Linked DNA regions of Oryctolagus cuniculus. The protein of the gene in region 3 purifies or fractionates together with the protein of the main gene of each other region. This does not show direct contact. Links are inferred from orthologs where the notes say so. Each region holds a gene or a part of one and is shown on either strand. Other genes may lie near its edges.

Region 1 (4,504 bases), on a different chromosome or scaffold from region 3:
GATAGGCGTGGTGCACTGGCTGCAGCGTGCCGGCCGTGGCGGCCATTGGAGGGTGAACCAACGGCAAAGGAAGACCTTTCTCTCTGTCTCTCTCTCTCACTGCCCACTCTGTCAAAAAAAAAAAAAAAAAAAAGTAATAATAACTTTATTTTGACGCATGCCCACGCACCCTGTTTTGAAGCCCACGCATCCTTTTCTCATACTATGCATTTCCCATGAACGTTTTTGAAGCCCCCTCATGGCAGAGGCTCCAGAAGAAAGCCGAGGAGCTCCCACTGGCTCTCCAAACAGGGAGGGAGGCAAAGGGCCAGGGCAATGACTGGGCAGGGAGAGGCTACAGACAGATGAGGCTGGGAGCAGCCTGGGAACCCAGAGGGAATGGGCCCTTACCCAGGATACCACCCTTCCGTTGAAGCAGGGCAGGCGGGCATTGTCATCTGAAATTTCTTCCTTCACCACCCTGCCGGGAGACAGGACGAGGTCAGCGAGGCTGGGTCAGCCACCCCCGCCGCCAGCTTCTCCGTCTTCACCCAGCTCAAGGATGCCGGCCACCCCCTGCCTCGTTCCCCCTCTCTCCTAGGGAAACAACCTCCAAACCCCACTCCCACCACGTTTCGCCTGCTCGCCCCAGCTGGCCCTCAGGGGCAATGCTGCTCCAAAGACTTCCTGCAGCATGACTGGAAGGCCAACCCCTGTGGTTACCTGGTTGCCAGTGAGCCTTGCTGGTAGCCGTCCCCAAACCCAGCCCTGTTCCGTACACACCTTCCCCAACCTCATACAAGCTTCTACTCTCCCACTTCCCTTTAGTTTTTTCTAATCCACTTCCAGAGAGTGGTCCAGATGTGCTGTCTTTGTCAGGGGACAAAAGCCCATTAGAGGAACCAACAGCATCTCCTTAGGCTGAGAGCTGGGAAGAAGAGAGGAAGCCAGGCTTCCCGTTCCCCTGTGCCTCCCCTGGAAGAACTCTGCTCTCAACAACATGCTGGGTCTCAAGACCCCAAAGCCCCACCAGCTCCCCTGTGTTCCCTGTAGTGGACTGGACTTGCCCCCCTTTCTTCTCAACCACCCCTTGCAATCAGCAGCACCCATTCTGTTGTACACCACGCCCTGACCACGCAGCATTAACACTTGTTGACTAAACAAACAAAACACACAAACCAATAGATTCTCTGGTTTCTCCTCTGTCTCACAAACACACCCTCTCCCCTCCCCAAATCAGAACATCTTGTCTGATTAACCCTTTAGCCTAATATGCCTCTGGGAGTGTGTATATACACCAACTGAATCCATTTGCTAGTTATGTGACAACAGGGCCCAGCCACTACCAATCTGTTTCAGTGTAATTAGTGTTCTCCCAATATAACCCATCTTGGCACAGCTCAACCCACTCCACGGCAGGCTATTCTGTATCACCACAACCGAGTTTGTGGACCTGTGGGCCTCAATGCCAAGGACAACGATGACCACGCCCCAAGAGTTTCCCATGTGCCAAGCGCGGGAACTAAGCATTTCACTCTGTGATTATCTCAAATGTGAGAAAAATCAACGCACAAAGGTAAATGAAATTGCCCAAGATTACACTGCTGACCAATCCAAGAGCTTTGATTTAAGCCCAAGATAACTCCCAAGACAACTGTCACTCTCCCCACGCTGAACGACCTTTTTAGGCAGAGTCCAGTTTGTTCCGTCCCCCTAAAATCCAAGCCATCAACACAATCTAGCCAGCCAGTGAAACAACTGAGCAGTCAAAACAAGAGTGGTCATTCCCCAAAGTGAGAAAAACAAAAGGGCTTCGAATATGTTATTTACAGTCCCAGTCAAGTCCAGGAATCCCCAAATTACCCCAGGATAGCCCAATCTATTCTAGCACAGCCTACAACGTCCCTGCATGCAGCTGTCTGCACCAATATAGACTAGACTATCCCAATACAGCTGTCTGTATTAGCAAAAGCCCCAACAGCCTTATCTGCCCTGTACTAAGTGCCCCGATGCGTGCCGAAGAAGAGTTATTAGGTTAGGATCAACCAAGAGACCAGAATGACCCCAGCCCGTCCAGTAGCCCACTCCAAGGCAGCCTAGAACACCGCAACTTTTTTTTTTTTTTTTTTTTTGCATTAGCATGCATACACTCCATGGAGTCCCCAAACAATCCTGTCTCTGCCACAACGTTCCAACTGCCGCCAACACAAGCCCGGCTATGTCAAGAGACTGCAGGCTGTCTCCACACAAGCTGTGTGCTACAGGAAAACGCTCAGTCCCGACCACCCCAAAACCAACCTGCGCGCCCCCACCTATTCCATATGGCCCAATCTTCTCCACTTTATCGCTCCGTGTGCATCCATCTGTCCAGGCATAACCTTGTCCGTCCTGGGACGGCCACTCTGCCTCAGTGTGGCACAATCCGATCCACTGAAGGCCAGAAAACCCGTGTAACCCAGAGCAGACCCGTGCCCCCTGCAGAACGCCCCATCCGTGCGGGTACAGCCCCCGTCAGTCCCAGGCTAGGCCTCGCGCTCACCCGAAATCCTGATCCATGGACTTGAAAAAGTACTTAGCACCCGCGGGCCGCTGCAGAACGCTCTTGAAGTCTCCAAGGGTGATGCGCTCGGCGGGGACTGGGATCTTCACCAGGTAGGGAGTCTCCTCCTCATCCAGGTGGTAAATCACCTTCGTCTCCCCGACGCCTCCGCCCCCCGTGCTGCTGCCCGCCATGGTCTCGCCCGCGCGCTCCCGGGCTCCGCCGCCCACCCAGTGGGGCTATCTGCGGCCCGCCGCGCCTGCGCACACTCGAACCCCGACCGGAGCGCGGACGCGACAGAGCCAGTGTGGGCGTGGGGCAGCGGGGAGGCGGCGGGGTGCGGCAGGGTGGCGGGCCGCGCGACGCGCCCCGGAGCGGCGCACTCAGCCGCCGCGCGCCACCGCCGCCGACGTCGCGAGCGCCCTCCAGGGCCCCGCCCACCTCGCCTCATGTCACGTGGCCCGAGCCCGCCCACCTCGCGCTCCCTGCACCGCCCTTCGCCACGTGACCCCTCCGCCATCACGTGACTACTCGGCTCCTCCCAGCGCTCCCTCCACGTGACCGCTGCCTTCAGCAACGGTCTCCCAGCCCCGACCCACTCCGCCCCCGAGCGTATCCCCCACCGGAGGTCCTCCCGGCTGGCACCGTGTCCTGGGGACCTCCGTCTTCGGGGTGGGGGGCGCCCTGCGCCGTCCGGGCGGGAACGCGAAGCGACTGCGCACGACCGTCCGTGCAGGAGCAGCGGGACCGCGGGCGCGCGTGGAGGGAAGAAGCCGACGGAGCCCCTGGGGTTGTGTCCCGGCGCGGGAAGGCCCGGACGCCGAGGTGGGTTTGTGCCCTGCGGCCAGCTCCCCCAGAGCCTCCCCCCAAGCAGGACAGTCAGGGAGGGCTAGAAACACAAAGAGCCCACTCTGCTTTATTTACAACACGCAGGCTGTCTGTACAAACGGCTGGCCAGTAGTAAAAACAAGAGGTGCGTGAGGACCGTCACCTTGCCGCTCTCCTTGCTCGCTTGGCCAGGCTCACTCCACCTCTGAGCCGCCACGCTCGAAAGAGGAAGTCCAACATTAAAAATACAACCGGTGTAGAAGAAAATAAATTGGGAGTAAAATAAAAGATGAGGGAGGGGAATGCTATATTTACACTAGAGTTTATAGACAGCTGTCCCAGTCCATCCCAATTCCAACCCTGGCAGGTCCAAGATGCTGCATCCGGGGCCCCCGACAGCCTCCCACGCCCAACGCAACGTCCACTCCAGTCCACAGGCTGGGGAGGGAGGGGAGGGAGGGACCGTGAGACTCATTTCCGAAGTCTGCCTTGGGCGTTCCTGCCTTGAAGCGGGGACCACATCCAGACTCCAGGGGATGGGCTGAAGCCCCCGAGGCTCAGTTCCCGAATCGTCACTTGCCAGTTCCAGCCTGGAGTTGGCAGTGTCAGGGCTCTCCAGATTTGGGAAGCCCCCCTAACCGCCGCGCCTCAGGCCGCAGTTCCTTGCATTTCTGGCAATAAAAGAAGTCAGGGACATTGGTCTTCTTAATCTTAGCACAGGAGAGGTGGATCCACGTCCCACATAGGCTGCACTCGATCATGGGCCGCCCTGCGAAGGGCTTCCGGCAGTAACACGTGATCAGGTCCCATGAGTCATCACCTGGGGAAAGAAGGTTTGCTGGATGTCCTGCCTGTGCTCTTGGATCCAAACACCCCGCACCCCACCGTCCCCGCTGCCCAGGCAGCCCCCACCTCACCTGATTCCACCATGATGTCCTCGTCCATGACCCGCATCTCGCCTTCGCTGGAGCTGGCATCTCCATCCTGGCTTGTTTCAGTGCTGCCCACCTCCTTGCTTTCACTGTCGGTGGGAGGGGCGCCTTCGGGGTGCACTGTGGTAGGGGGCCTGGGGGCCTCAGAGGGTGTGGGGAGCACAGGGGCTGGGGCTTCATCCCCTACCACTACTGACATCTCTTCCTCCTCCTCTTCTTCCTCTTC
Region 2 (4,019 bases), on a different chromosome or scaffold from region 3:
CATTCGGGAGGGAAACCTTAGCAGCAAAGTAGTTTGAACGCTGGCCTGCTCGGCTCATGCTCTGTCCTGTCCCCACGCGGCTACCGGCTGTTGAAGATCACCTCCAACCAGCACGGGCAACTGCTGATGAACTGGCGGGTGTAACACTGGCCCCAGCCCTTCACGAAGCTGATCTGCACGGTGAAGCCAGTCCACGGCTGCTGCATGAACTCGTGGTCGTTGGGCCGCTGCAGGCTGTACGCCTTCTCGTAGTCGAAAGCCTTGATGGAGAAGCCGGGGAACACCTTGTGCACCAGCAGTGTCCTGGAGTCCGGGTTGTCCAGTGTGGCGGACTTGATGAAGATGGGGTAACTGCTGCGGTTGTAGACCCACACGCCGTCCACCTCCCGCGTCAGCTGGATGCCACAGCCGATTTTGCTCCGCACTTTCTGCACCAGCTGACTCTTGTTGTCCGAATTGAGCTGTCCGAGGCAGAAGCCGTTCCCCTGAGGTAGATCATAGAAGATGTCCAGGGAAGGCTCCTGGACACAGTAGAGCCTTCCCACTCGCGTCTTCTCCTCCCAGTATGCCACCACGCACCAGTGTGACCGATCCCCAGGCTCCAGAAGAAGTTGGGAATCTGCAAGACAAAAAGGGGGGCGCACGGTTGGTGGCGGAGGGGACTGGCGTTTGCTTTTGCTTCTAGGACCAAAACACACACTCAGTGCCAAGGCAGAAGGGAGGAGGGGCGGCCGTGGTCCTGGACCGGCTGCAGGCCCTGGAGTCTGGAATCGTGACCCAGTAAGAGAAGAGCCCGGCTTTCCTGGTGCACAGCCCTGAGCTCCCCCAACCTGGCCAGGGAAGCCCCATCCTTGCAGAGCACGGGCCAGAGGTGCCTGAGTCTCGTGGCTCTTGCTTTTAAGGTTACAGGTGGCCTGGAATTACAGCTGTTTCAACTGGACGCAACTTTGAAAGCCATTGATGCCAGCGCCCTGGGCTGTCCTGATGGGAAACCCAGGACCCAGAAAGCTTGTTACTCAGAGCCAGGCAGTGACACAGACAGATCCAGCACCCTGGTGGTCCCCCGCCACCACTGTCCAGCAGCTCTGCACAAAAGGGGTCAATTCAAAATGCCCAATCACAACACACACTGGGACATCAAGCCAGACTACCTTAACAAAACTGGTTCCTGCCCAGCCAGAAGGTGAGGAGTCCAAAACAGAGAGGACCATGTCCTGGAAGTGGCCCCAGTGGCCGTGCCAAGGGGTGCCCCCTCCCCCTTTTCCCCTAGGCATCCTGACCCTGCACAGTGCAAGGCTGTTCCTCCCCCAGGGCCTTCCTGCAGGCCCCACCCGGCTCTGCAGAGCCCAGGGTGAGTCTGTTAAGGTGATTTTCCCAACCCTCTGCTCCGGGGACCTGCAAGGGAGGGGGGATCGTAGGGAGGGCAGGGGGCCAGGCGGCTGGCATTCCGACTCCTCCTTAAGCTGGAGCCAGCGGGCAGGCCTCAGACTGGGGCCCATAAATCTCCCTAGCCCAGCCAGGCTGCAGGGACGCTGTGGTTTGTGGCGGCAGGGTGGAGACCGGAAGTCTTGTATTTGTTAACAAAAAAAAAAAAAAAAAAAAGAAAAGAAAAAGAAAAAAGAAAACGGGGAACGGGGAACGGGGAGGGAGGCAAGAAAGCCCGGCATGCCACCCTCCCTGCAGCCCGGCCCTCCCCGTCTGGTGGGCTGGCAGGGACTGAAGTGTGACTCGCGTTTCGCTGGGGTCTGTGTTGGGAGCAACCGGGCTCCCAGAGGCCCTGACAGGGAGCTGCCCAGTCCCAGGGGTCGGTCGGCGGTAGGAGGAGGGCTCGGGGCGCCTGTCCTGAACCCCAGTGGGCTGTGGAACCGGTGCAGCTTAACACAGACTCATTCCAGCTTCTGCAGGCATGTTGGGACCTGGGCACCAGTCGGCTCCATTAGTGCTGTTTTTTTTTTTTTTTCCTAAAGCAGCAGCCAGTCCTGGATGGAGGTGGCCTGTGAATAAGTCTGCACAAATAATGCACACACTGCACTCCACCAAGGCAGCCACGAACACACACACACGCGTGCTGAGCTGTGGCCGTGGCAGGGCTCATCTCTCCCCCTCCCTCTCCACCCCCAACTTTGAAATCTATGCCCAGAGACTGGCGGTCACCACCCATCCCTGGATGGCCGGGCGTGCGCTGCCTAAGTGTATGTGTTATGGCAGCGTGCGTGAGAGCACTGTGTGTCCCTGGGCTGTGTGTGCTCTCTCTCTTTCTCTCTCTCTCTCTCTCACACACACACCTTGCAACATATGGGAAAACATGAGAGAGGCAAGGGCTCTGAGCAAAGAGTGAATCATCAGGCATCGAGCGTCTGCAAAGGATCCATCAACTGCTAATAAAGCGGCGAGTGCGGGCAATCTTTGAACTTGGGAGTTCACCTCCCAAGGCTACACCAGAGGCCGGTGACAGCCACGGAAGCCAGAAGATCTCTGGCGGAGAGAAAGCCCTGGCTGCCCCCAGCACACACCTGGCCTGGGAGAGGGGCTGGGCAGGGGCGCTGGGGGTGGGAGACTCCTCCCTCGGGGAGCCCCACTGGGTGTCAGGCAGCCTAGCGCCACTGGAAGCTGGCAGGCACTGGCAGGGAGCAAGGAGGAAGAGGACCTAGGTGCCCCATGCCAGGCCCCAAAGGGGCGGGGCCTCTCGGGGCAGAGGGAGCTGGGAGGGGGCGGGGAGGGGCGCTCCAGCGGGATTCTCTTTCATCTGGGCAGCCCGCGTAGCTACCCCGCTACCAGACCTCTCCTGGAAAAAGCCTCTTTCTGTTGAGGTTAATGGCCCAGCCCAGATAAAGGGTGTCCCTGAGTGTAAACAGGGCCCCTGAGAGCCGGCAGGGTGCCCCCCTCCCGCCCCCCCCCCCAGGGCAGCTCCGCTCTCTGCCTCCTGTCAGGGCTCTTCCTAGCACAAAGACACGCTCCCCAGCAAATCCACTGCGGGGCACGCAGCCCTGGGTGCTCCCGGGGCACCCCACACGGCAGAGCCCCCGCCAGCCGGGCTGGTTTCTGGGAAGCACTCAGCGTCACTGTCACAGACCAGTTCCCCGAATCGGGCCCGCAGCCCACAAAGTCTCCCCACAGGGCCGGTGTGGGCGCTTGGCCCGGGGCTTCCCAGGCCAGGCAGCCAGGGGCTGAGAAGTCCCCGGGCCTTCAGCCTCGGCTTCTGGCCATCACCTCCGAAAGGCAGAGCCCAGGGGCCCTGCCCTCAAGGTCACAGCCTCCCCTGTGTGTTCAGCGCCTCCTGCCCTCCCGCAGGAACTGCACCCAGCTTCTTGCCCAACTGCATGTGCTCATTTCAAAGCATCCCAAAGAAAAGCTCACTAATCAATGCCTGCGAGCGTTTTCTTTTTATTACACTTTAGGGAATTTTTGGAGCAACACCAAAAACATGCTGAGTCTGCCTAAAATTCCTTTAAGGTGTTTTCCCCCCCTTCCCCTTCCTCCTTTTCCTGAAAGCATAAACTCTCCCCTTTAAAGGGAAGGGGGCGGAGGGTGGGGGGTGACCATCCAGCAAGGCGCTCCTGCCGCCGACAGGAGACCAGCAGCTCAGGGACTCTCAGACCCTGGCCAATGGCACAGGGTGACCGGACCCGAAGGCCCCACAGTGGGTCAGCAAGAAACTGTCTTCTTCCTGATTTCTAAACTGAAAGACAAAGATGACCAACAATGGGGTACGAAGCCATTCCAGGCCAGAGAGCTGGGGCTGTCCCAGAGGCACCTGTGGGATTCTGAGCACATAGGAGGCACCCATGGGGAGCAGACGTTCCAAGATTCAGCCCTTCCAGGACATGGGTGAGCTTGGCCAGCAGCCAGGAGGCGGGGGTCTTCCTGGCTCTCACCTCTGCAAGGCACTGGACTGCATGCATGTGCAGTCTCTCTGCCAGGGTGCAAGGTGCCCGGGCCCGCAGCCCCCTCCCCGGGGCTCCAGCAGGGCAGAAGGCTGGCGCTGCAGAAGGCAGGCAGACAGGAAGTGAGCCTGGCAG
Region 3 (2,972 bases):
CTTATTTTCCAACTTGGAACAGACTTTGCTGTGCTGCAGTTATAGTGTTGCAAACAACTTAGCTCAGGTACACCTGTAAACCAGCCTCATTACTTTGTCAGGATGCATGTTTCCATTTGCAAGAACTAACACTAGATGTACATTTCTTTTCATGGCAGCATTTTTTTTTCCCCTATGGCAAAGATTTTTCACCCTCCATTGGCTGCCTCTTTTTTTTTTTTTTTTTTTTTTTTTTTTTTTTTTTTTGACAGGCAGAGTGGACAGAGAGAGAGAGACAGAAAGGTCTTCCTTTTGCCGTTTGCGGTGCACTGTGCTGATCCGAAGCCAGGAGCCAGGTGCCTCTCCTGGTCTCCCATGGGGTGCAGGGCCCAAGCACTTGGGCCATCCTCCACTGCACTGCCAGGCTACAGCAGAGAGCTGGCCTGGAAGAGGGGCAACTGTACAGAATCCGGCAACCGGACTGGGACTAGAACGCGGTGTGCCGGCGCCGCGAGGCGGAGGATTAGGCTATTGAGCTGCAGCGCCCGCCCAATGGCAAAGATTTTTCTAAACCTTATCCTAAAAATATATGAGGACAAGGCTTTGGGACAGATTCATTATGTATTATAATGATACTGATAGGCCCCCATATTACAAGATGTCCTTTTAAAAACTCACAGCTGGGGCTGGCATTGTGGCACAGTGGGTTTAGCCTCTGCCTGTGACACTGTGACATACTGGAGCACTGATTCAAGTCCCCGCTGCTCTTCCCATTCTACTCCCTTCTGATGTGCCTGAGAAAGCAGCCATCCACATGGGAGATCTGGATGGAGTTCCAGGCTCCTAGCTTTGGCCTGGCCCAGACCAAGCTGTTGTGGCCATTTGAGAAATGAACCAGCAGATGGAAGATCTCTTTCTGACTTTCTCCCTCTCTGTCACTCTGCTTTCAAATAAAATAAGCCTTTTTTTTTTATTTTTTTACTATAAAATAAATCTTAAAAAAAAAAAAAAAAACACAGCCACCAGTAGGACAGAGAAATTCAATGGGAATAGAATATTAGAGCAGAAAATAGTTTCCTATTCTTAAAAAGGTATAATTTAGGGGCTGGCACTGTGGTGTAGCAAGTAAAAGCCACTGTCTGCAGTGCCAGCATCCCACATGGGCACTGGTTTGAGTCCCAACTGCTCCACTTCCATCTGGGGAGTGAACCGGAGAATGGAAGACCTTTCTCTAACTCTGCCTTTCAAATAAATAAATAAATAAGTATCTTTATTAGAAAAGGGGTATAATTTAAATTTTGATAAGAGACCCTATGGCCCACAGTTACTCTCTGGTCCTTTCCAGAGAACATCTGCTGATCGCTGAGGAAGATCAGAGTGAATGAGGGCATTTTAGTATGTGAGGAGCACCTGGTGCTGTGCTGAGTGCTTGTTTCTTGCCTCTGAGAGATAACTGTTGTTACTCTCATTCTCGCAGACCAGAAACTGAGACTTGGTAAGTTAGGGAGCACTTGCTTAAAGACCTGGTGACAGAGCTGGAATTTGAACCCAGTTTTGCCTGACTTTAAAATCAGTGTTGTGTGGCAGGCATTTGGTGCTTTGGTTAAGTCATCCTGTATCAGAGGGCCTGGTTCAAGTCCTGGCTCCTCTGTTTCTTGCTAATACACTCTCTGGGATGTGTGATGGTGATGGCAGGTAATGGCTCAAGTGCTTGGGTCCCTGACACCTACACTTATATGAGAGACCTTGATGGAGTTCTGGGCTGTTGGTGTCAGCCTGACCCAGTCCTGACTCTGGTGAGCTTTTTGGGAGTAAATTACTAAGTGAAAGATCTCTCCCTCTTTTCTCTCTCTCTTTCTTCCTTTCAAATGAAAATAAGTGAAATTAAAACCAGTGTTTGCTTTATTACACTGCCCATGTGATTCTTTGTATATTTCCTTTTCTCAAGCTTACAAATTTTTTTTTTTTTTCCCCAGTTTTAACCGCCTGGACCTGCCACCCTACAAGAGCTATGAGCAACTGAAGGAAAAGCTGTTGTTTGCCATTGAAGAAACAGAAGGATTCGGGCAAGAGTAACTTCTGAGAACTTGTGCCACCAAAGGATAAGAACTTACTTGCAATGCTTGTCCTTTTCCTTCTCTGCTTGTTGCACATCTTGTTGTAAAGTTGGACTGTGACTTTAGAGAGTTACTGAGTATAAGTAAATTTGTCTCCCAGTGATTCTGGATTTCTCTCCAGCACTTCCAGAAATCTTATCTGCAAATGACTTGTGAAACCTTACTTAACATGAGATTTAACAGCAATGAAATCTGCCCTGTCTTATTCTACTAGATTGTTTCCTTAACAATTTTATATTTGTGTCAGAAGTCTCACTTGGGAGTAGGGTTTTGTATTTTTGAGATTCTGCAGATATGCCGGGAAGTCCCTTAGTAACAGCAATATACAAGATCTTCCTGTTAAGCCTCTTGATGAGAGGTATATGTTAAAAACACAGGCTTGGCCCAGTTTCTGGGGATGTGAACAGACCTAGAGCTTGTGCTCTTCCTCTCATTTCAGCCTGGCCTGACTGTTTTTCCTTTCTGGAGCATGAATCCGTGCATCATTTTGATGTTATTCCTGGAAGTGATGCAAGACTCTTCCATCTCTTCTACAGAGTAGCTTTGTGTGACTTCAGGGAAAAGTTGCTCCTCGCCCACAAACGACTTCACACCTCTCCTCATTTGGAAGTTTGATTGTTTTAATTGCCTTGAAAATACTAAACTTTGCAAACAATATTGACACCATGGTTCCTTCACTGTTTCTAAAAGTTAATTTAGAATTGGAATTCATCTAGCTGAATTCATCTAAGACCATCATTGATGATATTTGTATCTTACAATTTTATTTTAATCCAACAACTTCAATTATGTTTAATTATTGCTAAGGAGTTCAAATTGTAACCAGAGTACTTTTCTAGTCCAATCAGAGGTCAATGAAACAGCTTCTAAATTATA
Region 4 (4,019 bases), on a different chromosome or scaffold from region 3:
CTCAGCCTGAGCCAAAGCTGGAGCTGGAGCTGGAGATGCAGGAGGAGCCACAGTCGGAGCAGGAGTTGGTGCCTGAGTCTGAGTCGGAGCAGAAGCCTGAGCCACTGCTGGGGCCAGAGCCGGGGCTGGAACTGGAGCTAGAACCGGAGCCGGAGCAGCTGGAGCAACCTGAACTGCAACAGCAGCAACAGCAGCAACAGGAGCAAGAGCAGCAGCAGGAGCAGCAGTGGCGGTGGTGGCAGAGGCAGCAGCTGGCATCTGAGCAGCAGCAGCTGGAGAAGCAGCAACAGTAAGAGCAGCAGCAGTTGCTGGAGATGGGGCAGCAGCAACAGCAGTGGCAGCTGGAGCAACAGCAGCAGCCGCGACTGGAGCAGCAGCTACCATGGTGTTGGTGTTGGTGGCAGCAGTGGCAGTGTTGGCAGTGATGGCAGCAGCAGTGGCGGCAGCAGCAACTGGAGCAGGAACAGAGATGGGAGTAACAGCTGCAGGCTTGTTGGGTTCCGGTCCACGTTCAGTTTGGGTGCTGCAGTCTCGGCTGCCTGTCTTGGAGTGAGCCGAGAGCAGGGGAGTGGAGGGGGGCACAGGCGAAGGTGTGGAAGGGACAGACTCAGCACGGTAGTCTCCACCCAGGAGAATGCCTGCAAATGAACAAGGGAGAGAGGTTAGGAAACAATACAGTATTCTAATCCATACATCTGATTATCTGTTTCTCTTCAGGACTTCAGGAGAAATTTGAGTGGGCCTAAATTCTTAACCTTTTTGCCTCCAGCAAACTCAGGAGTTGGCTTATCAGCATTTTCCACCATGGCTAATGGTTTCTTCTAGATTTGGAAGATCCCTGGTCCTCATTATCCAACTCCCAGCACAACACATTAAACAGTGAAGTGTTCTGAGTATCTGTTTTATTTTTCCCAATGGTGATTAGAAAGAATTCTTCCACTCGGTTCCACTTATAACCAACACCACACATTACCAGAGAGCTGGAAATGACCAGAGGAAGAAGTCTTAAGACACAGATAAGTCTGCTATTAATTGTGTGATCTATGGTTCTGAACATGAGCATGGTTCCCAAATGCTTTCTCTGGTCTAAGCAAAGGAACTTGCAAGTGTCAGAGGACCAAGAAAGGTGAAAAAGCATCACAAAGAGCTAAAGTAAATAAATATACATGACTCCCTTCATCATGCTTTAAAAATGTACCATGGTATCTACAATACTTTGGAGGTTTTGATTAGTGGGGATGGAAGGGACAGGCTTGGAATGGAAAAAGTACATTCTGTTCTCATATCAGAATGTTCTGGTAACAAAAACCTGCGACCCAGATTGATTTTGATTAAGTAGAATGCTGGGTCGTCCTCTTGTAGGGGAGAAAAGAACAAAGAAATGCTGGAATTTTGAAATTGTGAATGGCACAAGAGGCACATGGGCTTTGGACATGGACAAGGATTCTGTGTAGCAAAGACCAAATTGAAGAAATTTTTAAGAGGCCACTGATGCTATCTCCCTTCCCACCCAAGAACTTAGAATTCTTATCTTCTCAGGCCCTGGCCTCTTTAATTGTTCTCACCATGAGACTTCCCAGTGTGGCAGAGCTCTACAATATGTAGTTAACCATTCAGGAGGAAAACATCCTGACCAGCTACATCTTCCTCTCTAGAACCTGGGCGTCACCCTTTTTCCTTGCTATATGGAGATCTTTTTAAATGTGTGACTATAATCTTCCTTAGTTGTCATTACCTAGGCTCCCCTTCCAGCTCTTATCCTCCCGTTTTTCTTCCATGATAGGGGTGCCAGTCAAGGTGGATGAGTGGGAGAGTAAGCCTGAGCCAGCATTGGAAATAGACATCAGAGACTTCGCTGGCCTCATGGATGACAGCTGCTCTGTCTTACTTGGCTCCTTCCTGGAACGCTGCTGGAGAACTTTGATCATGGCGTCTTTCTCAATAATCTGGGCATGCAGGGTCTTAATCCTAGGAACCAAAGACAAAAAACATATAAAGACCTTGGAGCTACCTCTGTGTTCTGGTCTCATTGCCTACAAGTACTTGATTTCCCATTCTCTTTTTGACTAAAGGGTAGCCTAGTTCATTCTGAAGTGCATATTATGGAATGGTGTACTATGACTTTTTTAATGTTTTCCTGAACACCCAGTAGAGCATCTATGAGTGGCTGCTTACACCTTAGAAGGTCAAAGTAAAGTATTGGTGAAAAGAAAGGCCACGTAGGAGAGAATGAACTGGTGTGGCAGGCTCTGCTGTGAAGAATTTGAGTCAACAAAAACAATGTGTTCCATGAGAAGATGAGGTCTTCTATTAATGAGCCATAGCCTTCCAGTAATAATAAATGATTATAAGTTTACAGGAGGCAACAGGAGTCCTACATCCCAGTTTCAATGGATGTTCTTTCATTAAGAATTCTGCTATATCAGCAGTGCTGTGGCTCACTAGGCTAATCCTCTGCCTGCGGCACCGGCACTCTGGGTTCCAGTCCCGGTTGGGGCGCCGGATTCTGTCCCGGTTGCTCCTCTTCCAGCCCAGCTCTCTGCTGTGGCCCGGGAAGGCAGTGGAGGATGGCCCAAGTGCTTGGGCCCTGCACCCACATGGGAGCCCAAGAGGGGGCACCTGGTTCCTGGCTTCGGATCGGCACAGCGCGCTGGCATAGCAGCCATTTGGGGGTGAACCAACAGAAGGAAGACCTTTCTGTCTGTCTCGCTCTCTTGCTGTCTAACTCTGCCTGTCAAAAAAAAAAAAAAAAAGAATTCTGCTATATCATAGGCTTAAAGGTATATTTTTTGCAAAGAATGATCCAGAGTATAAATGCCAATAATTGAACTTTGAACTTTGGCAGAGGGCAGGTGGAACACAATTAGGAAGGCATAGGGGAGAGCAACACTATTTAGAATTCAACAATTGGTAGGAATTTTCAAGGTAAAGATCATCACATCTCAAACCCTAAGTAACAGGCTAGCAGAGGTGAAGGTGGTAGGGGGATTCTGGGTGAGCAGGCTTCCCAGTTGTCGCTAAATATCTGTGTCCTTCTCTACTGACCTATCTGGTCTCTACACCAAATTCTCAGATTCATCTTCATCCAGATTGACATTTATACCTGCCCTCCATGTCCAAGCAACGCTTGTTGGCCATCAAAATTTCTTCCTCCTCCTTCTGGATGCGAGCTTCAAGAGCTGTGTCATAACTGGTGTTAGGAGAATGACTGATGACCGATGCATCCCTGGGGAGGAAAATGGCAGTGATGATGACAGGAGGGCAGCAAAAGAAATGAATGCTATCTCCACCCCAAGGTAAAGGAGGCTTTGCTGGAAAGCCCTAAGCTGAAGTCAATCGCATTAGGAACAGCTAGTTTCTGTGTGACTTACTGGTAGGAGTTTCCAAGAAAAAAAGTCTCAGTTCCCAGAGTAGATGAAGAGATTATTGGCATGGATGCAGCTGCAAGAGTCACTGAGAGATTCTATGAGATGTACACAGGCTTGCCTTCAGAACTGGACAGATATCTACCCCCAATCTTGTGGAATATGGTCCTTCAAGTTTTTAGGTCATGGCCAAACAATAAGAATATGTTTACATTCTACTTTATTCTAGTGACCATCATGAAAAGGAAAAGGGTAGGCATTGAAGGAAGTCAGCTTATTGCCACAGATGAGTGTTGGGATCTATGCCTGAGCATTGGAAACAAATGAACAGGTCAACAACAAAGACTGGGTAGTCCATGTGAGCTGAAAAGAGGGTCTTTGGGTGTGTAACAATGGGGGTTCCTATGTAATCTAAATCTGAAACATTCTGCACCAAATCAATGAGTCTACCCTAAGTGACTGCTCTCTTGCCAAAGTCCAAACTGTATAAGGGACCATCATGTTCCATCTGAAAATGTCTCAGGCCATTAATTCAAAGACCAATTAATAAGGGAAAACATATGCCTCTCTCTCTGTGTGTGTGTGTGTGTGTGTGTGTGTGAGAGAGAGAGAGAGAGAGAGAGAGAGAGAGAGAAATCAGGACTAAGGGAAAAT
Region 5 (4,733 bases), about 48 Mb from region 3:
AAGAGAACAAAATCAGTATTTCCAAGTAGAACAGGGTAAGATTTTTTGCATATTATCTCATTTAACCTACCAACAACCTTCAACCCTGATGAGGCAGCTATTATAACTTTGATTTTTTTCCAAAGAACATTTCTTTTTTGAAAAAAAAAAAAAGACTGATTTTATTTATTTGACAGGCAGAGTTAGAGGGAGCAGGAGAGAGAGATCTTCCATCTGCTGGTTCACTCCTCAGATAGTTTCAACAGCCAGGGCTGGGCCAGGAACTCCACCTGGGTCTCCCACGTGGGTGGCAGGGACCCAGACACTTTGGCCACCTTCTGCTGCTTTTCCAGACACATTAACAGGGAGCTGGACATACGGGGAGTCGGCATTGCAGGCGGCAGCTGAATCTGCTGTACCTCAACGCCAACCCTATGCATTTCAAAAAATTAGAGACTGGGTTTAGCACTGCGGCGCAGAAAGGGTTCTGACACAGTGGTTTGGTCACCGCCTGTGACGCAGGCCTCCCAGCTGCCCCCACTTCCACCCCAGCTCTCTGCTAAAGGCCTGGGAAAGCAGGGAAAGGCCCTAGTGCTTGACCCCCTCGCACTCTTGTGTGAGACCGGGAATCATCTCCTATTAGATGCTGTTGTGCTCTCCCTCTCTGGGACTCTATCTTTAAAATAAACAAATACATTTTTTAAAAATGCCTGAGATTGAAGATGAGAGCAGATAATTCAACTGAGGTCTTCTAGCTGGTAAAACGTCTCAGTAGAAATTTGCACCTTAGAGACTTGCATCCATATCCCCAGATGGGTCTCCCCGAATGCAACCAAGCTTTCCCAACTACAATATGTACAAATGTCCCCTGGCTTATTATATTTATTGTGCAGATGATTTCTGGCCAGTCTGTACCTGAGGAAACATTCTAACCTGATGGGATTTTAAATGAGTGAAAAAGAAAGAAAGGTGGGGAGGTGTTCCAAATTAGAGAGGCATTTTGAATAAATCATTGATGGCAACAGGCTCTCACGGGAACCCCGGTTGAATCGCTTAGGTTCTCCTGGACCTGTTTTCTCACCTGTAAATGAGCTATTTGTACCTAATGACACTCTTCCCAGTTCCCTTCTGGCTGGGTCATTCTATAATTCTAAGAGAGAAGGCTCCGGCCTCCAGCTACCTTGACTTTGCTGGGTGGGCTCCCAGGTGATTGCATTCAAGTGAGAAGCAGCTGAACTACGCCAGCGAAAACCTACTGCAGAGCTAAGCAGGGAAAAAAATGAAGGAGGGAGACGGGAAAGTGGCCAACGACGCCTGGCGAAGGAGACACAAACTGTATGCAAATAGCTCAGACCACCAACGGGTCCGTAGCGTGCACCAGGCAGAGCCGAGTGCTGCCCCGGTAGGATGCAGGAGGACATCGCTCCCCGTCTCTCGGCGCTCCCAGTGCCCGGAGCGTACGCTTCGTATTTGCGCGTGGAATGCGAACTTCCACCACTGCTAGAAGCCCTGAATGTGAGAAACGTAGGAAAAACGGAGGATCGAAAAAAAATTTTTTTGGGGGGGGAACCATTCGAGGGTGCCAGGAGCCACGCGAAAAGGCGGTCTCTGGAAACCAGCGGTATAGGCCGGCAGCGGAGGGACACGAGTTGTCCACGCCGCGCCCCCTCCCCAGCCCAAACCCCACGCACAAAACAAACGGCCGCAGCCGTCGGGAGGAGGCGCAGCTCCTCCTCCCAGTCCGCACAGCGGCCCCGCTGCAGCGCCCTCGCCGCCCGCCGCCCCCGCCTCGGTCCCTCGGGCCTCGGAAGTGACGCAGCGCGCCCCGCCCCCGCCGCCAGATCCGCTGCTGCTGCCGCGGCGGGCGGATCTGCAGGAGGCGGCAGCGGCGGCGGCGGCCGAGGCCGAGGGAAGATGGCGGACGGTGTGGACCACATAGACATTTACGCGGATGTGGGCGAAGAGTTCAACCAGGTACGTGTGGGCCTGGGCCCGCGCCGCCGACGCGGGCGACGCTGCGGCCTGGACGCCGCGCCGGGGGCCCGCCGCGGGCCGCGAGCCGACGCTGCTGCAGACCGTGCGCCCTTGCCGCCACTCGGCCCCGGCGCCCCCCTCGCCCCCTCGTTCTACCGCGTCGTTTCGCGGGCCGCGGGCGCTGCGAGCCGCCGCAGGGCCTGGAGCGCGGTCGCGGGCCGCCGTGCAGGCGCCGCTGGCCCCTCCCTCGCCGCCGCGGCCTCGGGGCTCCCCATTGTTGGCGGCGGCCGGCGAGCGCTTTCCCGCCGCGCTAGGCCCGGGCGGCGGGGCCCGCGTGTGCGCGGCGGGGAGAACGGGCCGCCGCGCCCCCTCCCCCGCCGCCGGCTGGAAGAGGAAGCCCCGGCGGGGCGCGCGCCCGCCGCCCCTGCCGCCCCTGCCGCCTCTTCCCCGGCCGGGCCGCTCGGGCTCCGATTCCTCCCGTCGCTCCATTTTGTCTCGCTGTCCGCGCACGGCCGCCTCATGGAAGGCCGCGTTCACGACCCTTTGTATTCCGCGCGCCCCGTCTCCGGGACGCTCCCGGCCGCTTTCGGCGTGGCGCCCTCCTCCTCGTGCCCGTCCCACTTGGTGCAGGCGCCGTCGGTGCCAGCACGTTTGCAACAAGTCTTTGGATTTGGGGCGCCCGCCGCTTGCGTGCAAAAGCCCGTGCCCTGTTAATAACAGAGGAGCTTGCAGTGCATCCTAGTCTCAGCCGTTCTGGGCCTTTGTGTTGAAAATAGCCGCGGAGATAAGTGGCTGGGGCCGCGACCAGGAATTGGAGGCGCGCAGTGGGGTTTGGATGAAACAAAAAGATGGTTGCTCACGCCCAGATGAGCGTGATGAAGACGTAGACAAGGTGTAGTTTCAAAATACGGAGTGCGAGGTGGGACCCTGTTTTCGGAGGCTCGTGGTTGATCCCCCACCCCACCCCCGCCCGGGCTCTGCTTAGGGTTTGAAAGGCTGCAGGAGGAGCCGGCCAGGTTTTCCAGTGTCCCATCGGACACGGTTGCCCGCGAGAACCAACTGGCCAAGCATCCTGGGAAAGGAACTCGTTTGTTGCTGGAGTAGTGACGTTTGAGCTCCGAGCCTGCGTTTTCTCTAGTCTCATTTTTTTTTTTTTAAATACATGTATAGTGCCCAACTGCAGTGCACCCTAAAAGCTTTTTTTTATGTCTTCCAGGTCCGCATACGAAGTTTTAATATCCCCATGGTTAAAGTGGTTTTTTTTTGTTTTGTTTTGTTTTCTCTTTCCCTCCATTAACAGTTTTACAAATATGCAGACTCAGAATTACTGTTCTGTATCTTAGGAATGACTGTGTCTCTGGTTTAAGTATTAGAAAAGATATTTCCAAGTGGCTTTAAGTGTTTCCTATGCTGTTAAAGACTGTATGTGTTTAAATGTAACCCATTGTAGTCAAATGTGAAGTTTGAAAATGTGTTTTTTTTTTAAAACTATGCTTACGGTTTGAATACATGATGCCAATTACAGGTTAGAAAATTTCCTTGGGCTACACAGTGTTTTAAAGTTGGTAGACAAAGACCTCTAGGAAGTGTCTTTTATTTATCCAACGAGTATAACATTGCATCCAAAAGAGGGCCTGTAACTGCAAGCAAAGGAGCAGTTAAGTTCAAGACTATCTTGGTTGAAGAAAATACATTGCTTCACCTTGCTACGCACAGTGAAGGAAGAATTGCATGATTTAGAAACTGAGCTTTCTTCAGTGCCTCTTCATGAAATATTTTTAGGCTTTTTCATACTTAATTTATGAAAGACTTCTCGCTTATCCAGATAACTGGATGGAGTGATACTTTCTTATCCTTGTGCAGTAACTAGTGTTGAGTAAGCAGGAGGTAAGACATAAAATTTTGTGGACCTACTTTATAGATTGGCTTCTGATCTGCCTGTTGTGGTAATTCTGGTGCACAAAATGACCACGGAAGAGTTGTTGGGCATTTCCAATGGGGAAAAAAATCTTCAAAATAATTTTTCGAAATCTTATTAAAATTAAAGGTAACCACAACAGTTTTTGTGATGGGTTTATTTCATCTGTACTCCGTTATGAACCAGTTACCTTGTTTCTACTAATGGCTTGTAGTAAACTATGACATTTGATTGATAGAATGTTGTACAGTACTGATTTAACCAGTCTTTATTTTGGCTCCTATGTTGCTGTAAACATTTATAAAAATCTTTGTTTTTCCGTTGTGAACTGCAGTTTTAATGGCATTTGTATACTTTGGGATTATGTGTTGTCTGTATATTTTCCATTTTCTTGTTTTAACTGGTCATAGCTTTTATGAAATTTGTCGTCGTTTTTATGTTGCTAACGTTACTTTCACACAGTGAGACTTTCAGCAATCCTAGAAGAAACTTTATTTTGTTTGGGGATGGGGTGAAAATAAGTTAGTGAAATTGTAGTAGAGTTTCTTCTCCAGATGAATTTAAGACTAGAGAATGAAGAGGAGAAGGCACAAGGGACCCGGCTATTTTTCATGGGTGCTCTGCAGTTCTTAAATTGAAGGTCTTTGGATGTCACCGTATTGAGAGCATTTACTTCAGTCGAAGGAGAATTTGAATTACTTTCCTTTTTTAAAGAAGATTATTTATTTGAAAGAGTTACAGAGAGGAGGAGAGGCAGAGAGGAGTCTTCCATCCACTGGTTCACTCCCCAGTTGGCCGCAAGGGCCGGAGCTGCGCTGATCCGAAGCCAGGAACCAGGAGCTTCTTCCTGGTCTCCCATGCG
Region 6 (4,732 bases), on a different chromosome or scaffold from region 3:
GCAGCAGAGGATGACACTGGTCCCTGGGGCCCTGCCACACAGCTATTTGGGGAGTGAACCAACAGATGAAAGAACTCTCTCTCTCTCTCTTTCCCATTCATCTTTCCCTCTGTCTCTGTTGCTTTGCCTTTCAAATAAATAAATAAAAAATAAATAAATAAATAATTTAAAAAATACAGCTGGGTGGGGAGCCCTTCTTGGATAAGAACAAATAAAATATGAAACAACTAATACCTGTTCCTTCAAAGGAGTACACATTTGATTGGATTTGTTTATATAGTTACTTATATCCAGGGTACTGTTAAAAACAAAGGAACAAAGCCAGCAGTTAGCGGAGTTTAACAGTTGGAGGTGGTCAGGGAACCAGAGGAAGAGAGCTCTGTCAGAAGCCACTGCCATCCAAGGTGACAACTTTAAAAAACTAAAACTGTGTGTGGTGCTGGTGGTATGCAGTGAATTTGCCTCAGGTAATGCAGTCACTAAACAAGCAAAAACAGATGCTTCTCAATTTATGATAGGGTTTTTATCTTACAAACCCACCAAAAGTTGAAACTATCATTAGTCAAGATGGATTTAATACATCTAACCTACCAACCATCACAGCTTAGCAACCCAGTGCAGTATACCCTTGTGATCCGTGGTCTAGTGGGAGATATGGCTTACTACTGTTGAAAATATCATGATAGAGAATTGTACTCCATATTGCCACCCTAGGAACAGATCAAAATTCGAAATCTGAAGTACAGCTGCTTCTCAAATGCATACCACTTTTGTATATCTAAAGCCAGAAAAGTGTTAAGTCAAATCATCAGAAGACCAGGACAGTCTGTAACAGTAACTGGGGAGAGACCAGTCCTGAGGGCTGTTACAGTGCATTATGTTCAGTGCCCTGCTTTCACAAACGATTATGAGGCGCGCAGAGACAAGAGAATACGACCCACACACTGGAGCAGGGGCGAGGGGAAATCCAGCACAGAAACCACCTGTGAGAATGACCGGATGTTGGATTTATCATTTTGAAAGAATTCAAAGTAGCCATTATAAACATGTTTACAGAACTAAAGAAAAGTATAACCAAAGTAAAGGAAGTTACAATGATAATATCTATTTGATGTTACATCAAATAAAGAATATCAATAAAGCAGCAGAGATTATAAAAATAAACCAAATAGAAATTCTGGACAGCATAATTCTGGAAATACTGTAAAGTATAGTAACTGAAATAACTTCATTAGGGGCCCCACAGTAGAAGAAATCTGCACTGGTAGAAAAAAGAATAAACTAACTTTTAGATAAATCTATTGAGACTACACAAAGCCAAGGGAAACAGAAAGAAAGAATAGAAAAATGAAAAGTGTGTCAGAGAAATGTGGGACCAATAAAATAAGGATACTGGAAGGAGAGGAAGGTGACAAAGGGGGGAAAATCTATTCAAAGGATTAATGGCAGTAAGCTTCAAAAATATATTGAGAAACAGGAAGCTACACACCCAGGAAGCTCGGCGAAGTCCCAGTAGGTAAACACATCGAGATCCACAACAGACACATCACAGTGAAAAAGTTCAAAGTCAGACAAGGCAGGTGGGGAGAGGGGCAAGAGAACAATTCCTTAATTACCAGTAAACATCAGTAAGGTCAACAATGACTTCTCAGTAAAAGTATTAAGGACCAGCAGCACTGGAAATTGCAGTCAAACCTCCCAGAGGAAAAAGCTGCAACCAAAAATCCTTTACTCAGCAGAGCAGTCTTATGAACATGAAGGTGGAATAAAAACATTTCCAAGGGAGCAAAAAGTAGAGAAGTTACGCTAGCAAACCTGTCTTACAGGGACACGTAAGGAAGTTCTTCAGATGAAAGCAGATGATCCCAGGCAGTAGTTCAAATCCACAAACAAAACAAAGCAAAAAGCACCAGAGAGATAATTTTATAACTAGTTGTAAAAGATAATTTAAGTGAATATTTTCTCTTATTAACTTATTGTATAAAAAATGGAATGTTGGGCCCGTAACATATAGGAATGTAATACATGTGAAACCTCCAATAATAGCACAAAGGCAGTGAGTGGAAATAAAGTTGTATTTGACTAAGACAATGGGAACAAATGGTAAGGAAATAATTATAACAATGTCCTGTTAGGTGTGTAACATTAACTAATGTTAAATATGTTGTGTAAAATACCACAAAAGAAAAGAAGAGAGAATACAGGTATACAGGAATAACTGCAACTAGCTAGTATAAACTTGAACCTACTTCTGATTATATGTATACGGTAAATCTGGGGCAAACACTAAATAATGACAAAAATAACAATTCCAAAACACAGAAGGGCAGATTAGAGGGACAGAAAAGACCTGAAACATAGAAAACAGAAAGTAAAATAGCATAAATAAATCCAACTAAGTCAATGATAACATTAAATGAAAAGGTATTAAATAATCCAAAGACAGAGGTTGCTATATAGCATTAAACAAACAAACAAACAAACAAACAAAAACTATGTTCCTATTGTATGCCTTTATAGGAGGCATTCTTTACATTAAAAAATAGAAATTGGATGAAAGTTAAAGAATGGAGAAATACGTATCATGCAAACAGCAACCAAAAGAAAGCTGGAGTGGCCCCTTGTTGTCCCACGCTGTTGCTATGGATTCGTTCTGAGATGAGGAGTGTGGTGGGGGCAAGAGGCGCAAGTCACCATACGACCCTGAGAGTTGGGTGAAAGTGGGCCAGAGGTGAGCAGCCCGAAGGCTCATTTATTTCAGTTGGTACAACAGCTTATATAGCCAAGGCAGCCAATCCGGTCAAGGGGCGGTCTATGCCCTAACCAATCACAGCCTGTTGCCCGGCAGGCTCCATTGCCAGGTGGGTTTCAAAGCCATTCCTGAGTAACTGACACTCACTTGCCAGCGGCCATCTTGGCATGGCCTTATTCCACCTCACTAAGCCTTGGGCTTGTGGCCTCTGGCTGCCTGCTCTCTGCTTTTCTGCCCACGCTACATTACCTGTGGCTGCTCCTAACTGCACACTTGCTCCACCTGGTTCCCTACCTGCTCTCTGCCTGATATCAACCCAACTTAATTTCTAGACTTCTTTCTACTCTAGACTTCTTTTCCCCTAAAAAAAAAAAAAAAAAAAAAAACCCTCACTTTCCTGTGTATTTCTCTCACTGAATACAGGCTGAAAACTGTACCATGTTGCCTGTTTCATTTATAAGCAGCTGATATTTAGAATTCTGATCTAAATATACAGCAAGAACCCTTGAAATTTTGAGTAAAGGTGCCCGACTTTAGTATTTTAAGTGAAAGATGGAGTAGAACAACCAGTACTGTGGCGTAGCGAGTAAAGCCGCCATCTGCAGCATAGGCATCCCACATGGGCACTGGTTCCTCCATTGGCTGCTCCGCTTCTGACCCAACTCCCTGCTAAACTACTTGGGGAAGCAGCGGGGGGGGGGGGGGGGGCCTCTGCATCCACATGGGAGACCTGGATGAGGCTCTTGGCTCCTGGTTTTGGCCTGGCCCAGCCCTGATCATTGCAGCCATCTGGGGAGTGAACCAGCAAATGGAAGATGTCTCTCTCTTTCTCCCTCTCTCTGTAATTCTGACTCTCAAATTAAAATAAATCTTAAAACACACACACACACAGAGATGGAGTAGAGGCATTGGGATCATATTAGCATGTGGAAGACACTGTCCAGTTCCTGGGGGAACACATTTGAAGGGGCACAAATGGACGTGAAGACTTCAGAGAGAGTACCAGGGTTCTCCCAGGCAGATGCTGATACAGCCTTGGACTAGAACAGCAGGAGAGGAGTTACAGAGGTGACTACAGCAGTTCCCCATTACTGGTGTGTGTGTGTGCATGTGTCTCTGTCTGTGTGTGTGTTCTCAGACTGCAAGTGGAGGCCTGAATACACAGAGTACCCAATCTTACATATACTGTGTTTTTTCCTATATGCACATACCTTTGATAAAGTATTTTATAAATGAGGCACAGTAAGATATTAACAACAATTATGAATAGGAAAATAAAATTCAGAAAATATACCATGATGAAAGTTATTTAGAATCTAGGAATTCATAGGACCCGTGTTGTGGTATAATGGTTAAAGCATCCCATACAGGCATCAGTCCTGGCTACAACACTTCCAATCTAGCTCCCTGCAGATGCTTCTGAGAAAGCAGGCAAAGATGGCCCAAATCCTTGGGCCTCTGCACCCATGTGGGGACCCGGATGAAGTTTGTGGTTCCTGGACAAGGCCTGACCCATCCCCCTGGCCATTTCAGCCATCTGGGAAATGAACCAGCAGGTGGAAGACATCTCTCTCTCTCTCTTTCTCTCCTCCTCCCCTCCTCCCGCAACTCTGCCCTTCAAATAAATAAAATAAATTTTTCAAAAAGAAAAAAAAAGAAAGCTGGAGTGGCTATGCTGATATCAGACAAAATAAGATTTTAAGCAAAATATCACAGGAGCAATTTCTTCTTCTTATTTTATCCTGTCAGGTGGCACAAAACTGATAATGTTCACTTTGATTTTTCACTTTATTATTGCCATGTCTGACAAGTTTCTCCATTTGAAATTATTCTTTTTCCCTGTATAATTTTTTTTATTTGACAGGTAGAGTTAGACAGTGAGAGAGAGAGAGAGAAAGAGAGAGAGAGAGAGAAAGATCTTCCTTCCATTGGTTCACCCCTCAAATGGCTGTTACGGCCAGCGCAGCCGGGAGCCAGGAA
Region 7 (4,019 bases), about 5.6 Mb from region 3:
CTTGCGGCGCCGGCACACCGAGTTCTAGTTCCGGTCGAGGCGCCGGATTCTGTCCCAGTTGCCCCTCTTCCAGGCCAGCTCTCTGCTGTGGCCAGGGAGTGCAGTGGAGGATGGCCCAAGTGCTTGGGCCCTGCACCCCATGGGAGACCAGGATAAGTACCTGGCTCCTGCCATCGGATCAGCGCGGTGCGCCAGCCGCAGCGCGCCAGCCGCGTCGGCCATTGGAGGGTGAACCAACGGCAAAGGAAGACCTTTCTCTCTGTCTCTCTCTCTCACTGTCCACTCCGCCTGGCAAAATAAATAAATAAATTAATTAATTAAAAAACCTCACAGAAACGCATGTTATGGGAGCCAGCACTGTGGCATAGTGGGTAAAGTCACTGCATCCCATCTGGCCACTGGTTCGAGTCCTGGCTGCTGCTCCACTTCTGATTCAGGTCCCTGCTAATGCGCCTGGGAAGGTAGCAGAGAATGGCCCCAGTGCTTGGGCCCCTGAACCCATATGGGAGACCTGGAAGAAGCTCCTGGCTCCTGGTTTCAGTCTGGCCCTGCTCTGGCCATTGATGGCATTTGGGAAATGAACCAGCAGATGGAAGATCTCTCTCTCTCTCTGTCTCTCCCTTTCCCTCTGTAACTCTGCCTTTCAAAAGAAAAAAGAGAGAGAAAGAAAGAAAACAAAAGAGAGAAAGAAGGAAGGAAAGAAAAAATAAAAAAGAAAAGAGAGGGAGGGAAGGAGGGAGGGAGGGAGGAAGGAAGAAAGAAATGCATGCTATAAAAACTGCATGGATTTAATTTTTTTTGGGGGGGCACCAAGATAAACGTGTCTTTCAAACTGTTCTTTCCACGAGCTTCCTGAAGTCCCTTGGTATGAACAAGGCTGGTTCCCTCCCTCCCCCAGGCCCTCTCCTCTCCTGACCATGCCAAATGCCCCCAGCACCAGGGCCAGGAAGGGGCAGCGGAAGGGAGCTGAGAGGTAACGGAGCAGCCTGGGGTGAGGGCTAGAAGGCTTCCAGGGGGAGCAGGAGGAGGGGAAGTAAAGTGGAGAGAGGGAGGGCGGACACGTGGGTGTGGAGAGGAAGGAACCCGGAGGCCAGAAGCAGGCAGCAGGCAAAGAACACAGCCCGACAAATCAGAGGAGTCGGCCCCTTCGACACGCACCGTCCCGCAGAATCTGCCCAGTGCAGAAACTGCCATCAGCCCCATCTTACAGAGGGAAAGCCCAAGGCTCAGCCAGGCTCCACACTCGGGTTCACCCACAGATGGCAGGAGACGGGTGGGAGGGTGAGGACAAAGGCAGGAGGTACCAAGGAGGGAGAGGCGAGGGTAGAGAAGGCAGAGGAAGCAGGCAGGGTCTCGGGGCCAGGGCAGGACGCTCACGAGGCAGGTGGCGCTGATATTCGCCAGCCACTTGGTCAGCGAGCTCCGGCAGCTCGCAGGCCCTCAGGCCCCGGATGAAGGAATCCACCCAGCCGGTCCGCCGCTGCAGGCTGTTGAACAGGTCCCAGAGGGTGTCTCGGTTGCCCAGGCGCGTGTAGGAGGCCCGCAGCCGATCCTGGAAGACACAGCCCCGGAGTCGTGCTCAAGCCAGTTGTCGCTGGCTGCCTCTTCACCCAGCATGTGACAACTGCAGAGAGGGGCACCGAGAGACCCCAGTGGGGAGCAGCCATTGGACACTGGACCCTGGCCCAGGACAAAGCCAGGATCAGGGCCCTAGAACAGAATGAGGAAGAGCCATGAGCAGCAGCCAATAGCCAACGACCAACTGCAGCTGCCGGGAAGTGGACTCTGAGTGTCCTGTAATTAGCTCTCCTTTGCTGATGAGAAGCAAAATGTATTGCCTGCAAAAGCCCTGGGACCAGAAACCCCCCCCAGAGCAAAATGAAAACAAGCCACAAAACAGAAGCAAAACACAGAAAACGGTTGCTAAGCGATAAGGGATCTTCAAGATGCAACATACAAGAGGAAGGGGTCAAACCCCATCAGCCCTGAGACGCCTGAAGACAGGAGACCCCGAAAGAGAGCGCAGGGCTCCCATTGGAGACAGCAGCTGAAATGGGGAGGGGCGTTTTTCTCTGTGCTGGGTGCGGTTGGAACCATGGGGGCCCGTGGGGCAGGGTCCTGGGACGAGGAGAATGGAATCAAATCTGGGCAGGACAAGGACTAGAGGAAGGGAAGAGAGGGCTCCGAAGAACAGTGGGACCGGAGCCAGCCGAAGCACTACACGAAATCAAACACAAGAGGGAGCCGGGGAGGCTGGCAAAGCCAACCCCACCACACAGTGCGCCAAGTAGCAGGGACAAGAGGCGGCATACAGGGCCTGGGAAAAGTTTGCAGAAACATCAGAAAGACAAGTGTATGTAGGTGCAGGAAGGTTTGGAATCCACATGTGGGCGGTTTCCGAATATGCGTTTCCTAGGAATTTTTTGAAGACCCCTGGTCCACGAGGGGCAAGGAAGGAGCTGGCCCTGGCTGGGGTGAACCGGCGGGGGCTGGGCTCACCTGGTCATTTGCCGTAAGGCAGGGCAGGTAAGGCAGGATCTCTAGAACATCCACACGGCAGAAGCTGCTGTGGTGGTGGCAGATGTACTTGTAGGTCTTGTCCTCAGCAAACGTCATCGCCGCTCAAGTTCTGCAGACGGGGCCCTGGACTCGGCGAGCGCTATGGCCGAGCGCGATGGACTGAGAGACGGGGAAGACTGGAAGAGAGCAGAAGGCAAGGCCACGGGGCTGGGAGGGGCGGGGCAAAGGCATTTCTTTCCTGCTCAGCCTGCTGGAATTCTGCTTTTATCTTTCATCTTCAATTTCTTTCTTTCTTTTTTTTTATTTATTTGAAAGTCAGAGTTACACAGAGAGAGGAGAGACAGAGAGAGAGGTCTTCCATCCGCTGGTTCACTTCCCAAATGCCTTCAATGGCCAGAGTTGGGCCAGTCTGAAACCAGGAGCCAGGAGCTTCTTCCGGGTCTCCTACGTGGGTGCAAGGCCCCAAGGACTTGGGCCATCTTCTGCTGCTTTTCCAGGTCATAGCACAGAGCTAGACTGGAAGTGGAGCAGCCGGGACTAGAACCAGCGCCCATATGAGGTGCTGGCACTGCAGGCAGCGGCCTAACCTGCTACGCCACAGCACTGGCCCCTCAATTTCTTTAAATGTCCTAATTGCCTGGATCCTAGGGGCTCTCAAAGAATTTGCTCAACAATGAACTGAAGACCAAAAGGAGATGCAGGTGATGCAGGGCCCATGTCTGTCCTGTAGCTTGGTCGGTGCTGGAGCCTGTGCCCCTAGCACATGGAGGGGGTCTGCCTGTGCCCCTAGCACATGGAAGGGGGTCTGCCTGTACCCCCAGCACATGGGGGACGGGGCCCTGTCCATGACCCTGGCTCCCAAGTCTGTGAGTTGCTCCCAGCTCTAAGGCCCTTAGAACAATAGCAATAACTCCCCATCTTGAAGTACTGCTTCTTTGGGGTAGGTTGGGGGTGATGGTGGTGGAGGCCAATCTGATAGCAATAGGATCATCTAACTTTAAAGATGGAGAAAACGAGGTACCAAGAAGCCCAGGGGCTGCTGGACGTGGAAGAGCAAAGAGCCGGGACCCTCAGCACCAGGTTCTTTCCGGAACACAACTGTGGGCCGTGGCTGTAGCGTGCCGCGTGCCCATGCTTCCAGGGAGACTGCACCCCACCGCCCTGAGCTCGTGGGGGGACCCGGGACCCAGCATGCACCTCTTCCAAGATTCTTCCTCACCTTCAAATGGCTCCGCGAGCTTACTTTGACAGTCATCACTTGGCCCCACATGCTCACAGTTTTTAAAGTGCTTCTAATACAAGCCATTGCTTCAGCGGCTCTTAGCACAAGTCACACTCAGTGTTTGCTGGTTTCCTATTTGCCTCTCCCACCAGGAAGTGCTGCAGGGAGTAAGACAAACAGCCTGGGGCCGTTGCTGTGGCCCACGGGTTAAGCCAAAGCCTGCATCCCAGAGGAGCATGGTTGAGTCCCGGCTGCTCCACTTCTGATCCAGCTCCTT

The links.
Region 1: the proteins of ITCH (region 3) and DVL2 purify together in Homo sapiens (affinity purification with western blotting; 4 studies listed by BioGRID and IntAct, with this or other methods). This does not show direct contact. The link is inferred for Oryctolagus cuniculus from reciprocal best matches to the Homo sapiens genes ITCH and DVL2.
Region 2: the proteins of ITCH (region 3) and SMAD7 purify together in Homo sapiens (affinity purification with western blotting; 4 studies listed by BioGRID and IntAct, with this or other methods). This does not show direct contact. The link is inferred for Oryctolagus cuniculus from reciprocal best matches to the Homo sapiens genes ITCH and SMAD7.
Region 4: the proteins of ITCH (region 3) and AMOT purify together in Homo sapiens (affinity purification with western blotting; 3 studies listed by BioGRID). This does not show direct contact. The link is inferred for Oryctolagus cuniculus from reciprocal best matches to the Homo sapiens genes ITCH and AMOT.
Region 5: the proteins of ITCH (region 3) and CPSF6 purify together in Homo sapiens (affinity purification with mass spectrometry; 5 studies listed by BioGRID and IntAct, with this or other methods). This does not show direct contact. The link is inferred for Oryctolagus cuniculus from reciprocal best matches to the Homo sapiens genes ITCH and CPSF6.
Region 6: the proteins of ITCH (region 3) and CFLAR purify together in Homo sapiens (affinity purification with western blotting; 8 studies listed by BioGRID). This does not show direct contact. The link is inferred for Oryctolagus cuniculus from reciprocal best matches to the Homo sapiens genes ITCH and CFLAR.
Region 7: the proteins of ITCH (region 3) and MAVS purify together in Homo sapiens (affinity purification with western blotting; 3 studies listed by BioGRID). This does not show direct contact. The link is inferred for Oryctolagus cuniculus from reciprocal best matches to the Homo sapiens genes ITCH and MAVS.

The regions. Positions count from the first base shown.
Region 1 is NC_091448.1:51,839,367-51,843,870, forward strand, and holds the start of DVL2 (segment polarity protein dishevelled homolog DVL-2), read right to left. Parts: upstream 2,934-4,504; 5' UTR 2,713-2,933; coding exon 2,519-2,712; intron 461-2,518; coding exon 391-460; intron 1-390. Other genes in the region: PHF23 (PHD finger protein 23), read right to left, coding at 3,952-4,166, 4,264-4,504.
Region 2 is NC_091441.1:28,937,961-28,941,979, reverse strand, and holds part of SMAD7 (mothers against decapentaplegic homolog 7), read right to left. Parts: intron 620-4,019; coding exon 81-619; 3' UTR 1-80. UniProt on the Homo sapiens protein: Antagonist of signaling by TGF-beta (transforming growth factor) type 1 receptor superfamily members; has been shown to inhibit TGF-beta (Transforming growth factor) and activin signaling by associating with their receptors thus preventing SMAD2 access.
Region 3 is NC_091442.1:23,587,255-23,590,226, reverse strand, and holds part of ITCH (E3 ubiquitin-protein ligase Itchy homolog), read left to right. Parts: intron 1-1,955; coding exon 1,956-2,055; 3' UTR 2,056-2,972. UniProt on the Homo sapiens protein: Acts as an Acts as an E3 ubiquitin-protein ligase which accepts ubiquitin from an E2 ubiquitin-conjugating enzyme in the form of a thioester and then directly transfers the ubiquitin to targeted substrates.
Region 4 is NC_091453.1:80,573,238-80,577,256, reverse strand, and holds part of AMOT (angiomotin), read right to left. Parts: intron 3,227-4,019; coding exon 3,104-3,226; intron 1,969-3,103; coding exon 1,736-1,968; intron 639-1,735; coding exon 1-638.
Region 5 is NC_091442.1:71,555,268-71,560,000, forward strand, and holds the start of CPSF6 (cleavage and polyadenylation specificity factor subunit 6), read left to right. Parts: upstream 1-1,795; 5' UTR 1,796-1,893; coding exon 1,894-1,953; intron 1,954-4,733. UniProt on the Homo sapiens protein: Component of the cleavage factor Im (CFIm) complex that functions as an activator of the pre-mRNA 3'-end cleavage and polyadenylation processing required for the maturation of pre-mRNA into functional mRNAs.
Region 6 is NC_091434.1:38,896,655-38,901,386, forward strand, and holds the start of CFLAR (CASP8 and FADD-like apoptosis regulator), read right to left. Parts: upstream 3,139-4,732; 5' UTR 1-3,138. UniProt on the Homo sapiens protein: Apoptosis regulator protein which may function as a crucial link between cell survival and cell death pathways in mammalian cells. Acts as an inhibitor of TNFRSF6 mediated apoptosis.
Region 7 is NC_091442.1:29,181,161-29,185,179, reverse strand, and holds part of MAVS (mitochondrial antiviral-signaling protein), read right to left. Parts: intron 2,697-4,019; 5' UTR 2,617-2,696; coding exon 2,500-2,616; intron 1,553-2,499; coding exon 1,378-1,552; intron 1-1,377.